Linked DNA regions of Drosophila melanogaster. The protein of the gene in region 3 interacts with the protein of the main gene of each other region in a pairwise test. Each region holds a gene or a part of one and is shown on either strand. Other genes may lie near its edges.

What was found.
Region 1: the proteins of Odj (region 3) and Sp1 interact in a two-hybrid assay, tested with the Drosophila melanogaster proteins (one study listed by BioGRID).
Region 2: the proteins of Odj (region 3) and ssp interact in a two-hybrid assay, tested with the Drosophila melanogaster proteins (one study listed by BioGRID).

Annotation. Positions count from the first base shown.
Region 1 is NC_004354.4:9,727,573-9,732,678, reverse strand, and holds the start of Sp1 (Sp1), read right to left. Parts: upstream 3,032-5,106; 5' UTR 2,796-3,031; exon of another isoform or gene 2,380-2,795; 5' UTR 2,116-2,379; coding exon 2,002-2,115; intron 1-2,001.
Region 2 is NT_037436.4:12,116,525-12,120,407, forward strand, and holds ssp (sunspot), read left to right. Parts: upstream 1-1,732; 5' UTR 1,733-1,790; coding exon 1,791-2,102; intron 2,103-2,163; coding exon 2,164-2,387; intron 2,388-2,447; coding exon 2,448-3,018; 3' UTR 3,019-3,265; downstream 3,266-3,883. Other genes in the region: vers (versatile), read left to right, coding at 240-646, 720-847, 913-1,325; CG11560 (uncharacterized protein), read left to right, coding at 3,558-3,883.
Region 3 is NT_033777.3:17,806,824-17,811,161, forward strand, and holds Odj (oddjob), read right to left. Parts: upstream 2,400-4,338; 5' UTR 2,295-2,399; coding exon 2,178-2,294; intron 2,124-2,177; coding exon 1,393-2,123; intron 1,333-1,392; coding exon 1,213-1,332; intron 1,156-1,212; coding exon 831-1,155; 3' UTR 584-830; downstream 1-583. Other genes in the region: CG17801 (uncharacterized protein), read right to left, coding at 1-66, 124-246; Alg1 (ALG1, chitobiosyldiphosphodolichol beta-mannosyltransferase), read right to left, coding at 2,757-2,976, 3,035-3,595, 3,657-4,216.

The DNA.
Region 1 (5,106 bases), on a different chromosome or scaffold from region 3:
AAAAAAGGTGAAAAAATCGGAGAAAAATGAACGTTGGAAAGGAGGGAGGGGGGAGGGGCAGGTGGTGGCCAGGGGCAGCAGATTGAAAGTGCCTCAATCACATTGCGTCCATTTGGCGTTGCTGACTCTATTAAAAGTGTCATGCGATTCGGGCTAATCCTTCAGAACAGAGATAGTATATCTAAAGTACAATCAACCCTAATTTATTTATTTAATTATTCGTTTGGCTAAACTTTTAAAGTATACACTTTAGAACACACTATATTCTTCTTTAAATACTTTACAAACCCTGATTCTGATTTTAATGACTTCTAGCATTGACATCAAAGTTTTCATTTGGGGAATTTAACAAATTATTTTTAGCCAACTGATCTAGCCGCTGACCTTTTGCTGTGAATTACAGGGTTTTGAACCAATATCATATGATGTGGGCCAGCACGATGGACTTGCATAATCAGCTAACTGAAATTCGAATTGAAATCGAGAGCAAAAGCCCGGAGGAGCCGTACAAAAACGATCATTAGCGGAAATCTGTCTTAGTTTTTCGGTCCAGATCAAAGGCCGGACGAGATTGATGAGCGAATTTTGGATCGGGGCCAAAAGATCATTATGAACGGCTGCCTGATGCGTTTTAGCCTTTAAGTGTTTGCTTCCGCTGTGCGATAAGCGATACGAGTCGAAAAGTCAGCGTGGAAATACGATCTCTACAGATTTGCCAAAACCCCAAATGAAACAAAAAAAAAAAACAACAAAAAAAGATTTTAAGTAGACCCAGGAATGATTCCATCGTTAGCTTCACACCTCAAGTGAGCCTGAATAATTGATTTTGAGAGCGAGAAACGAGAAACGGCAAACGGCGCCTACCTGGTACCTCAGTATCTCAGCCTATCAATAGTATCTGTATCTGCAGCTATGTATCTGCGGCGCATACCGTGAAATCCGTTGGCACACAGAAAACAGTGAAAAAATCCGGGGCTGAACAAGCCGCGTCCAATCGATTTGTATCCCGTTCCCCGGCATTAGATACTACCAAACAATCCCGATGAGTTCCAATCATCATCGCCTCACAAAAGGAATCCAGCTGAGCGGCTGACAAAAGGTGTGCGCTACTGTGAATTCCTCGGATGCGAAATCGTATCCGTAACTGAATACAAATCGAAATCCGCGGCGTCTGTTGTCATTGTTTGTTTATGGCTGTTTATTGTCAATGCTAATGCCGTGTAAGTGGCTGATTTGTCCGATTACTGTACGTATGTACATATATTTTATAAGCGACAATTGGTAAGGATTTGGCAGCCGCAACTGTGAGATACAGAAATACTTGCCGTAAAGTAACTTCTTGACTTCTCTGCGCGAATGATTTATGTCGAAGTGCACGAGTGTCTGCGGGAGGCATTCATCAAATCATGACTAAGTCAGCAAATGCCTGCCAGTCACTTGTGCGCAGTGAGCCCACATATGTATCTATGAGATACTTTCGGGCTAAACTCTGCAGCGATAACTATGAAATGTTTAGCGAAGCGAATAGTGGGTGTAATAAATTGCTCTTAGTACATTGGCATTTTTCGTTTTTGGGTGCAAAAAACACTAGTTTTTCTAGAACAGTTGATTAAGACCCAATTATGCTTGTAATTCTGTATATTACAAATATTAACTTTCTGACATGACAATTGTATCTAAAGTAATGGTCACCATAATTGGCATAATTTTATAATTTCTTATACAGATTGATACATTTGTATCTCTACACCCTGTAATTGTATCTGTATAATAGAATCTACTACTTTTGGGCTATGCTGTCGATAGTTTTCTATTCGATGGATGGCAATTGTGTGTAAAGTGACGGTAAGTGTGCATAATTGAGGCCCAGTGTTAAAAGAAAGATACACTTCGATAAGAACGCTCTGACCAAATCGTATCTGTAGTGACCTATCTTGCAGATACATATCTCGAGGTGCGGTTTTGGTATCTTCGGATTTGGGATTTGAGATTTCGGCTTACCGGATTAACTTGTGGCTTCTGCAAGTGTGTGGCGATATTGCTGATGTTCATGCCCATGGCCGGAATCTGGGATCCGTAGAGCTGACCGGCGGTCGGTGTCATGTCCGTTAACATGGTTGCTGTGGATGTTCCTGCTGCGTCTCCTGCTGCTGCTGATGTTGCTGCTGCTGCAGTGGCAGTGGCAGTTGTCGTTGCTGCTGCGGCTGCTGCTGCTGCTGCTGATGTCAATTTGAGGCGCACAATGATGCTGTCTGTTTTGCTTCTGCTTTGTTTTGCGGCCACTTGGGTTTAGGGTTCGATTTTCTATTCTTTTCTTCTTGCTCAACTCAACTACTTTTTTCTTTGTTGCGACTATTGTTGCAGGCCAGGCTCACTGATCTTGGAGAGTAAGGGAAAAAAGATGTAAAGGACATGGACAAATGGATTGGCAAGCACAGCACAGCACAGCACAGCACAGCACAAGCACACACGCACTCAGAAAAAAAGCAAAGTGGGCTAAATCGCTTGAGAGCAGATTATGGCCCAGCTAATAGCCCAGATATGTATAATCCGTATCTGTATCTGTATCTTTTCTCGAGTCCGTCGGCGTTGCACTTTTCTTCACTCGGCCGTCGGCTGATGTTTGCTGCTGAGAGTTGCAATGTTTGACTGCTCTTATTGTCACTGGGATTTTGTGCCTATATATGGGCTTAATTTTTTTTTTATTTTTTTTATTCTTTATAGACTTCTTTTCTAAGGAACACAGGCAAAAAAAAAATGAAATATAAGCGATGGAAATTAAAGGAAACTCGAACCAAAAATGCACACAGTTGTTTTGTTTAGCTTGGCTGCTTGTTGGCTTGTTTATGTTTGTTTGTTTGCTTGTTGGTTTATTGTTTATTTATTTGCTTGTTTGTTTTTATGTTTATTTGTTTATTTATTTGTTTGTTTGGTGACAGGAGGCGCCTGCCAACGAAAAAAAAGTGTCGCTGCTGTATCCGCGCCAAAAGTAACGCCGTCGTCGCTGATCGTTCAAAGGCTTGCAACTGTTTCACGCGAACAAAAAGCTTGTCTAAATGTCGCCGCTGCCACCAACGCTGCCACAGTCGCTGCCGCTGCCGGCGTAGCTGCCGCAGCGGTGCGAGTGAGATAGCACACAGTCGTAAATTCACTCCAACTAACCAAAATTCAACGTGGGGGCCAACGATGCCATCAGTGCAAGCGAGACGCTCGTACAGACAATCCAAAAACAACAGCAACAACAAAATATAAAACAACACACACCACTCTCTAGAGTGGTGCGAATGGGTGCCAGGGGTAAAGATATATATATATATATATATATGCATTCGTGTATTCGTATTTTGGTGGTGTGTGCGCCTTTCCCTTCCAGTTTCATTCATAAAAACCCCGGCTGCTTTGGGTAAAACCAGTTCCCAGAGCACAGCCCCCTCTATATGAACGCTTTGGCCAATGGCAGATCGGACGGGCCTAACCTATAATTAGAGCGATGGCCGCTGTGCGAGCGAGATGGCACGCACACGGACACGTGCCCCTCGTGCCGTCTCTTTCGACAGTCCTGCGGCCCTCTCTTTCATCGCGTGCCTGCGTTAAAAACTGAAAACAAATGCACACACGGCAACAACTACTATTGCGTTCAATTAAATGTTCGCCAATGTTGTTTTCCCAGAACTGGATAGCTGAAAATCGTAGGAAAAACAAAAGGGTATACGAAATATATGTATGAGAATAGAAATGAAAATCCACGCAAGATGACAAATTGTTTTCCATTTCGACTTTTCGTTACTATCGGTCGCAGCGAAAGGGAGTTTTGCGGGGAAATGGTCGTGTTTTTACCTCGAAAACGACTAAATTAAAGAAAAGGAAATTTGGAAAAGACCAGCGAAACTTAGATTGCAACAGCTTTGCCCCCAAAAGTAGACTAACTCTGGAAATTGCGACTTTAAATGGTCTTAGCTTGAGCAAAATAAATCCAGGTGTGGTTTTATCACAGCGTTTAGAAATGGAAAATATTGCTAAATATATATAGATAGTTAAGAATGTTCGAAAATCATAACAAATACTTGGAAGATTTCACCGGATGTAAGGCTGCAGAAAAGGGTTTAACAATTGGAATTTATCTGACACATTTGAAAATTCTGTTTCAGAAAATTCACGAAATTCAAAGTATTTGTAAGATTACATAGCATGTTATTTTAGTAATATTTTAGGAAAACTAAAAACAATGTACATATGTACTTAGACTCTGATTTGGAAGATCCCGAGAAGTCGTGATTATTCGGAACCCAATCCAGATTAACCCGTGCCAGTTGGGCCTCCCACAGCTGGAAGCTGCCGGTCGAGCTGTTGCATTTCAGGGCTGCAGCTGAGAAGCGGGCTAATTGAACCACACCCCCTGTACCGCCCCGCCTCTCGCCGCCCCACCCCTCCGGCCTTTCTATGCAAACAAAACGCCCAGGCAGCCGAAAAACGCCAGCCCCTGTGAGAAAAGCTGAAAAGTCCAAAAACCAGCAACGGACTGTCGATGGAGGTGGATGATGTGGCAGTAGAGATGTGGAAGTGTGCCCAGCACAAGTTGCCTGGCCGCGGGAAATTCTCTGCACAGCGGGAAAATTGAGGAAAAGTGGGCCTTGTGCCAATCAGTATGCACGTATCGAGCATAATAACTTGATAATGAAATCAATTTTAAAGATAACCAACACCTATTATTAGTTTTAATTTTCAATATGATTATAAATAAAAGATAAATAAAAATACAAGAAATATTTGACTTTAACTTTTCCGGTGTTTTAAGCGATAACTATTGCTTTCCAATTCCTGTTTCTTACAGTGACCTGTAGTGCTGCCCAACTTCGAATCACGACCGTGCTGCAGGACAAATGCAACACATTAAGTGGTGGCGTTGGGTGGGTGGGTGTTTCGGCGGAGTGGGTGGGTCGAAGGGGTGTGCCCAAAGTCGCAGGCAAGGCCAAGCCACTTCCTGACTCCTCATGGCCATGGAATTGCGGTTGGACCTCATCAGCTGGGCAAACTGATAACGCTGACTGATTGCACGACGGCATTCCCGCTTTTCCCCACTACATTTTCCACCAGTCCCCTGCCTGT
Region 2 (3,883 bases), on a different chromosome or scaffold from region 3:
CCAAATATCTTGTTTACCTATCCCACATGGGTGGCAATAGACCTGTTTACCTTTTCATAATGTGTTTTGGCACTACAAAGCGAGATTCGTTAAAACATGTGATAGGATATCAAATTTGACCTAATTTCTGTATGAAAGTCCACTTCAGTTACATAGTCCAACATGGACCACTAGCGAACATACTAAAATTCTAATTAATCACTCAGTAACCATGCTTCTAAACCAACTAACTCTTCTAGAATATAACACCAGAACGTCGTAAGCCAGGACCGCGCATGAAGAGCTCACTCCAAGCCCTGTTGAGCGATGAAGGATCACCGACGGGACCACAGCGAACCGCCAAGATAAACGTTGCACAGAAAATGGTCGTTGAGCCAGCGATCCGAGCCAATGGCATCTCGCCATTGCCCAAGAATGTTGGCAAGGAGGAAAAGTTTGAGGACTACTATACGAAAACGGAGCGACACGTTTGGAAAAAGGATGCGGAGAAGATGTTGCTGCAACTGTGGGCACAGCATTTGAAGGATTTTCGTGGAGAGTCCAAGAATGTGATCATCTACCGGCAAATGGCTAGGGAGATGAGTCAGTTTGGGCCCAGCCACACGGAGCTTAAAACCAAAATGGACAATTTGTCGCGAAAGTATAGGTGCGCTCTTATATTTTGCATACCAAAAGTTTTTATTTTTATAGTATATTAACTTTTATATTGGTATTTACAGAATAGAAGCTGAGAGAGTTCGGGAAACTGGAGTGCCATCCAAGTGGGAGCACTTTCATAAGCTTCAAGCACTTCTGATTGGCACGAAATCAGTTGATGTCTTCGAAGATATTACCGCCGAAAATCCAGGTAAAGTCGTAGTGCAATAAATGCTAGTTATGTCATTATGTCTTAAAAATACGCTAATTTTACAGCTCAAGCTTTGTTCAGCGATGAGGATTATGAGCCTGAGGAATTGTCTTCATTAAAAGACGAGCCTATGGCCGGGGACGATGGGAACGTATTCGAAAGTGATATGGTTGCTAGCAAAGCCATGAAAAGAACGCGAACTCCCTCTCCCAGTATTCCGGAAATCCCGGAAGAAGACGAGGAGGAGGAGGAGGAGGAGGAGGATGATGACCACATGAAGGATCTCTCCCCATCGCCAATTTCAAAATGTCAGACAAAACGGAAAGCATCGAACAACCATTCGGACAGACTCCTTGAAATAGAGGAGGAAAAACTGGCGATCGAGCGAGAAAAGCTGCAGGTTATGAAGGATGCACTGCTGGAGCTAAACGCATTTCACAAAGATATTGTTTATTTGCTTAAGCATAACAATCAGTAGTGTAAATATTAAGTGTTATACGTAGAAGTAGCGTGGTGTTACTTTTTCAGCAAAATATACAACTAAAACAGTGAATATTTAATGTAATATTGCTTCAACTTCAAATTAATCTAAATATATATATATATATTGTAAAAAGCTAGATTTTGCATTGTTATGATCTTACAAATTAGTTTCTTAAGTAAAAATAAATGCAATGAAATTATATTTTACTTTTTTTAGCAAAACTTTAATTACTTACTTTACTTTAATATTATAAATTTGTTTTAAATCGTATTTGTTACATTTAGTTTCTCAATTCGTAAAATGTTTTTTTATTTGTATTTTAGATATAATTTAAATCGATATCATAGAACTATCGATAGATATATGAAGCCAATACCGACCATTTCTAGAAAAATCGATATCGAGCTGCTGCCCATCTCTAGGCACATTTTGTTTATACTTTTCGAGCGTAAGGACGACATGATTGAGGCCCGCACGATGCAGGACGTATCAAAATTCGAATCCAACCAGGTGATCTCGGCGAAGGTGCTCCGCGGCGAGTACCGGCTACTACGACGCAAGCAGCGCGGCTCCGTGTGGAAGGTGTATCGGGAAATCGTGCGCACCGATGGTGCCATAATCAATGGACTCTACTTCTGCACGGGCTGCAAGCGCGTCATGCGATCCTTCAACACGTCCAATCTGCGCACCCACAAGTGCCATGTGGACTACCTGCGTACCGAGGAACTGTGCGAGGAGGGGATCGCGGAAATCCATCCCCCTAAACTAGACGTACGTACAACGACGCCATTAGAAGTCAATAGTAGTCCAAATTACCATGTCTCACTTGCAGGATTCGTTGGAGCGCCGCCTGAGCTGGAACTCCTTTCAGCCGTCCGAGTGGTCATTCCACGCGGTCGAACTGCTGCTCGAGCTTTGGGCAAGGCACTGCGTCGATTTGCGAGACTCACGCAAGCGGGTCCAGGTTATCTGGAAAATGACGGGCGAGATGAAGTCACTGGGTTTCACGTTCACGGAGATAAAGAACAAAATTGATGACATGGGCCAACAGTATCGGTAATAAGTGAATATACTTATTTAAGCATATTCCTTATCTAATATTACAATTTATTTCAGGCGAGAATCGCACATGGAAAAGACAACTGGACACAAATCCCAGTGGGAATACTTCGAGACCATGAAGATGATATTTAGTTCCGATCGTAACATAATTGACAATATGCCTCTGGATAAGTCTGGAAGTGCACCCAATACGACCAGCGAACACAATTCATTTGGCAGTCAACTTGACGAACCATTGATAGATAGGAACTACTTAAGGTCCCAAAAAGTACACCCTGGAGAAGGGGATAGCTTCGATATGAACGAATATGCGGATGAAGCACAAGAAGACGTGGATGAACTGCGTATTCTGAAGGATAACATAATCAGGGAAATCGAAGAGTCGTCCACAGTTCATTCCCAGGAAAACTATGAAGACGAGCTCGATCAACAGAATTCCAAGACCGAGGACATGAAAATTGCTAAGCGTCAAAGAGCTGCCAGAATTATGGAAATAGAGGAGGAAAAGCTGGTCATAGAGAGGAAAAAATGCAAACTGATGAAATTTTTCGTGCGAGAGATGTCGTCGTTTCATAAGGACTTCATGGATCTTCTATCTAATCCCAAAGGCGGCGCACATGCATAAATACCTGTTCGCGATTTGAGTGATTGCACAATAAAGTTCATTTCCACCGTTATTAACGTAAACTTAAAAGGCATCACATTCAACGAATTTTTAAAAAAATCATGTAACAGAAAGTTTAAATATCTCATTTCGGCAGTCACTCAATTTTTTATTTCAAATACGAATAAGTATAAAATGATTTGTGATTCATTGCGTTTTATTACAATTCAGCAGATATGTTTAAGATTTAATAAAATGAAGTCGTAATATCTTCGCCGTTTATATAATTTATTTATATATAAACCATGTATATCTGAAATTTGAAACGAAAAGTAGTGAAATAACTATTAATTTGATTGGTTTTAGAATATTTGTTGTAGATGACATTATATGTATTTTATTTTTTTAATTGTGTGGTTAATATTTTTTCTTTTCCTATTAAATTAAATTCGATACATGGTATTACATAGAATGTCGATATCGATTGTAATCGAACATCGCAACCAACTCACCGGTGATGCCACCTGGTTCGGAGCTCTGTGTTTTTAATTTTTTTTACTATGACCATAAGGATTGCGAGGCGAAATATGTTTTTCATACACGCCCCCGAGGAGGAGAAGTGCATGGAGGCGCAGCTGGACATCCTTATGAAGATCAACTCCGGTGAATATCGGCTGGTGAAGAAGAACAAGCGCAGTTCCGTTTGGAACGTCTACCGGGAAATCGCTCGTCCGGACGGCACCAAGTTGAAATGGCGATACTTCTGCATGGGCTGCAAGCGTGTGATGCAGAGCACCGGCGGCACCACCTCCAATCTGCGCATCCACAAGTGCCACGTACGGTATATCAAGCAGAACGGCCATCTCACCGACGGCAGTCACTCCTA
Region 3 (4,338 bases):
CGATGTGTTCAAGTCATTTAAACAAGATGGGCAAATATGACGCGGCTGGCGTTCATTCTGTTCTAACTGTAAATGGAGTAAATGGGTTATGCCATTCACGCACACAAGAAACCATCAACATACCCATATTCCAGTGAGATCCTTGATCTTGGCCAGAACTTCCAGGCAAAAAATTATCGTGGGATTCAGGTGACAGAAACACGAGGCGCACAAATGGCATTGCGAAGGCTTTTTCATTTCAAACATATGATCATTTATCCCGCTGAATTCCCAAAACAATCAGCTGTAGTTTAATTGATTTTATGTTGTCAATTATGGAATAAAAACGGTAAAAGAGCGTACGCAATCCGAGAATTTCTGTTTACTCTCTCTAAGCAGCAAAATTTGTATGAATTACCTGTTTCATGGCGTTACCAGATAGGTGTGGAAAAACTAACTGTTCTTATTTCCTAGAAACCAGGGAACATCGAGCTAGTTTTTATAATTTAAAATTTATATATTATAAACGGGAGGTTAAATTTTCCCAAAAAGAGAGGTTCAAGCTAAAACACACGTTCGGCTAATTCCTGACGTTTTTGAAATTGGTTCCATATAATTTTTATTAAAATAAGCGCGCTGTGCAATTAGAATAAAATATATTTTATAACAAATTGTAATCTAAGACCGACGTTGAATTCCTTCCACACTGGTGCTAATCGTACGGCTGGCTGGTGATTCAAAGGATTTCTCTGAACCACCGAAAAAGTCAGATAGTTTGCATCCCTGGCATTGTGGCGTGTGGAGTGTGGAGTGTGTGGCGCCAACAGTCGATTTTTTTTGTGTGCTTAAAGTTAGGTGTACAGCTCCTCTCCATCGGGAATGGCTTCCTCGTACTCGAAGTCCTCAAAATTTGCGTCCTCATCCTGAAGTACCTCGTGGTCCTCATATTGTTCCTCGTCAATGTTATCTAACATTACGTCCAGTTCAGCCTGGTTGTCCTCCATTTCTGCCTGCCCCTCTTCCATATATCCCGGAAACTCCGCCGGATCGACTTCAGACTGGAATTCCTCTTTTGGACCATTAACCAGCAAGTTGACCCGCTTGCGGTGATACTTTGTGGAGTAGTGCCGATGCAAAAACTGCGCCTCCTTGAACTCCTTGTTGCATGTGAGGCAGCTGTGAAAGAATATGAGTTTGTACATCTATGGCTACGTATATTTCAATGATTCTTACATATGGACATCCGGTTGGTCACTCTTGTGCCCCTCCTCGTGCTTCAGCCGTCCCTTCTCGCTGTTGAATCGTTTGCCGCATATTTTGCACGGGTGCACCAGCTCGTTGGCATGCATTTGACTGTCAAGGTTTTTATGGTTTATATAGATAAGGACTTGTGATGATTAGGCCAGCACTCACCGTTCATGACGACAGCGGCTGGGACTATTGGCGAATCCCATACCGCAGAACTTGCAGACGTACGGTTTCTCGCCCTTGTGATGGACTCGAATGTGCAATCGGAGCAGTGGCATGGTGTAGAACTTGCGACCGCACTCGTCGCATGAAAACTTCTCCTCGAAGTGCCGCAGCTTGTGATCCTTCATGTTGCTGTGATCGTTGAACGACCAACCGCACTGGTCGCACACGTATCGCTTTATCGAGCGATCGACCTTGGGTTTTGGTCGCCGCTTTCTGGGCTTTCGGACGTGCTCCCGCGGAGGTGGCGGTGGACTATCTGCCTTCTCGACCACAGGCACACGAAGCCGCTTGACCCTGACTCGTGGGGACTGTCTGTTCGGGAAATTTTGGTCCTCGATCCGGATTTTTTTGGCCGGAGGATATCTTAAAATCGGCTTTTCGTCCTCCAAGAAATCCTTATCATCATCCATTAAATCCTTATCATCGTCCAGTAGCTCCTTATCGTCCTCGGTGTCTACTGTATCATCCAGCACCTCCCGTTTCAGCAGCGGATCACTAAGCACTGGCGAAACCTCCGGGGAGCCTTTTGAGGCGACACCCGCCTTCGAGGAGATCCTCTGGTGGAGATTTGCGTGCGTCTCCAGGCATCGCTGCCTGAAGGCTACGGCTTGGGTCAGGTCCAGGAGACAACAAGCGCATATGTGCTGGGGCAGCATATTCTCTAAAACGATCTGGAAATGCATAGATTATGAATAATTCCGGACAACAAATAAAAGGGACGCCACCTCTAAGCCCGTGATTTGCTCGATGGCCATCCGAATGCGATGATTGCGCTTCTCGAAGATGTTCTTTGGGTGCGGCGTGAAGATGCGCTCGCCGCAGATCCGACACTCGGTGCTCATTCTTTCGAAACTAAATAAAATTGATTAATTTTAATTACAAATTATAGTAATTTTTGCGCAGCCGGTTTGGTTTTGAAGTGTGACCGTTGTCCGCAACTAGAGGTGTCAAACATTGATGTTTTTAAAATTTTCCGATATATCGATGTTTATTTCAGACTATCGATATTGGTGTTCAAATAAAAAAAAATCGGCACTGCATCCCGTGAATTTTCTTTTTTAATTGAAATACATAATACTCCTAAGAAAACACGCTTTACAAGCGAATAAATAGTTGTATATATCTCCTTTTTTTAGCAATTTATTTTTATCTTTAGGCTACGATTATAAAAATAAAATAAGCATCATAAGCAAGTTTGAAGCTCTTTTGTGTACAGAATTTGTAGTAACTAGCCTAGAAAAAGCGATTAGCAATCAAAGGAAGTCTCTCATAACGTGTAATTGTCAAATCTTTGTCAAAATGCTCTATAGAAATGCCTCCAGTACGGGGGCCGCGATCAGGCGCCAACTCTCCCGCCATCGCAGCTCCTGGAACTCCTGGATTTTGCGCTGAAAACCAGCTCTTGTCTCCAGGATGCTGGGATTCTTTGGAAAATTTTCGAACCAAATCCTCAGCTGCTCGGCCAGCTGAACATGGTCGCCAAACACGAAGCCATTCTCGCCGTGCTTCACCAGCTCATCCAGGCTAAAGAGCCATTTGTAGAAGTTAGTAAGTAATAATAGTAAATGGCAGGATTAGTTACCACTTGAAATCGTAGGCGCAGACAGGCAGCCCGCTGCCGAACATGTCGACCACCTTCATGGGCAGGTCGAGCCCACTGGTGCTCCAGTGCAGACACACGCCCAGGTCGGCGCTGGCCAGAACAGTGGGGTAGTCCTCGATCTCTAGCCAGGGCGTGATCACCGACACCTTCTGCCATTGCAGCTTCTCGATCTCCGCCACATAGTGCTCCTTTTGTGGCCCCTTTCCGGTGATGATACACAGCAGGGAAGGATAAACCAACGGCTCTGCTTGCGCAGTCTCCTCGTAAGCTTGCAAAGCCTTAAGCAGTATACCGAAGTCCTCGTCCGGCGTCCAACTGGTGCTGGAAACCAGCACGGCTTGTCGCTGTGGTCTGTACTGCACAACACCGCTGGCCAGCTTTTGGGTAAGAGCGGTGGCCTCCAGAACATCGGATTGTTCGGCGTCCTTGGCCTGGAACTGTGGGTAGTCTTTGGCCAGCTTCAGGTACAGCTCGTGCTTGTGAGTCAAGTCGATGGGATGGAATTGCGCGGGCGCACGATCATACAGAACTTTGACAGGCCTGAAAGATGAGTCGCGGCTGAGTTATTTACTTCGTTTAGATGGATGTGATGAGGACTTACCCAATGCCCCAGTTTTGCTGCAGATCCTCTTGCATGGCCCGCGTCACACAGAAGTGTGTGTGTGCCTTGGAGCCGAAGTATCGCTCCAGTCGCCTAACCAATCGTATTAGAGGACTCTGCTCTCCCTTCGACATTCCCAATGCCAGCACTGTGTACGTGTAGTTGTGCCAATCGATGGCCAGCTTGGTTCGTGTGACCGCACAGTACAGATAGCACACAATCAGCGTGGGAATGCCGGGCGGATTCTGGACGAGTAGGAAGCTGGGACGGCCAATGGAGATGAGAGCCATCAGCAGACTGAGCGTCTGCCAAAAGGCCTTGAAGAGCAGGCGCAGTTTGGGTGTTAGGTTCGTCACTGGGACGGCAGTTAGCTCGTGGATTCGGCAACGTGGATGTTGAGTCAGTTCCTCCAGCGGCCTCGTCTCCAGATACCCAATCATGTCCACGTGGTAGTTCTCCTCGAGAAGACTCTGGGCATGGTACTGCATGCGCGGACTGCGTCCAATGTCGCCCAGCACGATGACGCAGGCGTTGCGCTTCTTGGGCAGCACTTCCGCCATCGCTGGGCAAGAAAAATAAGCGCTTTATCTGCGATCAAAGGGAATTGCGCGTTTTGTTTGTGATTCGGTTGAATCCTGTGGAATAGTGGGACCGTACTCAGCCGCTGCAAAATGCCTCGGAA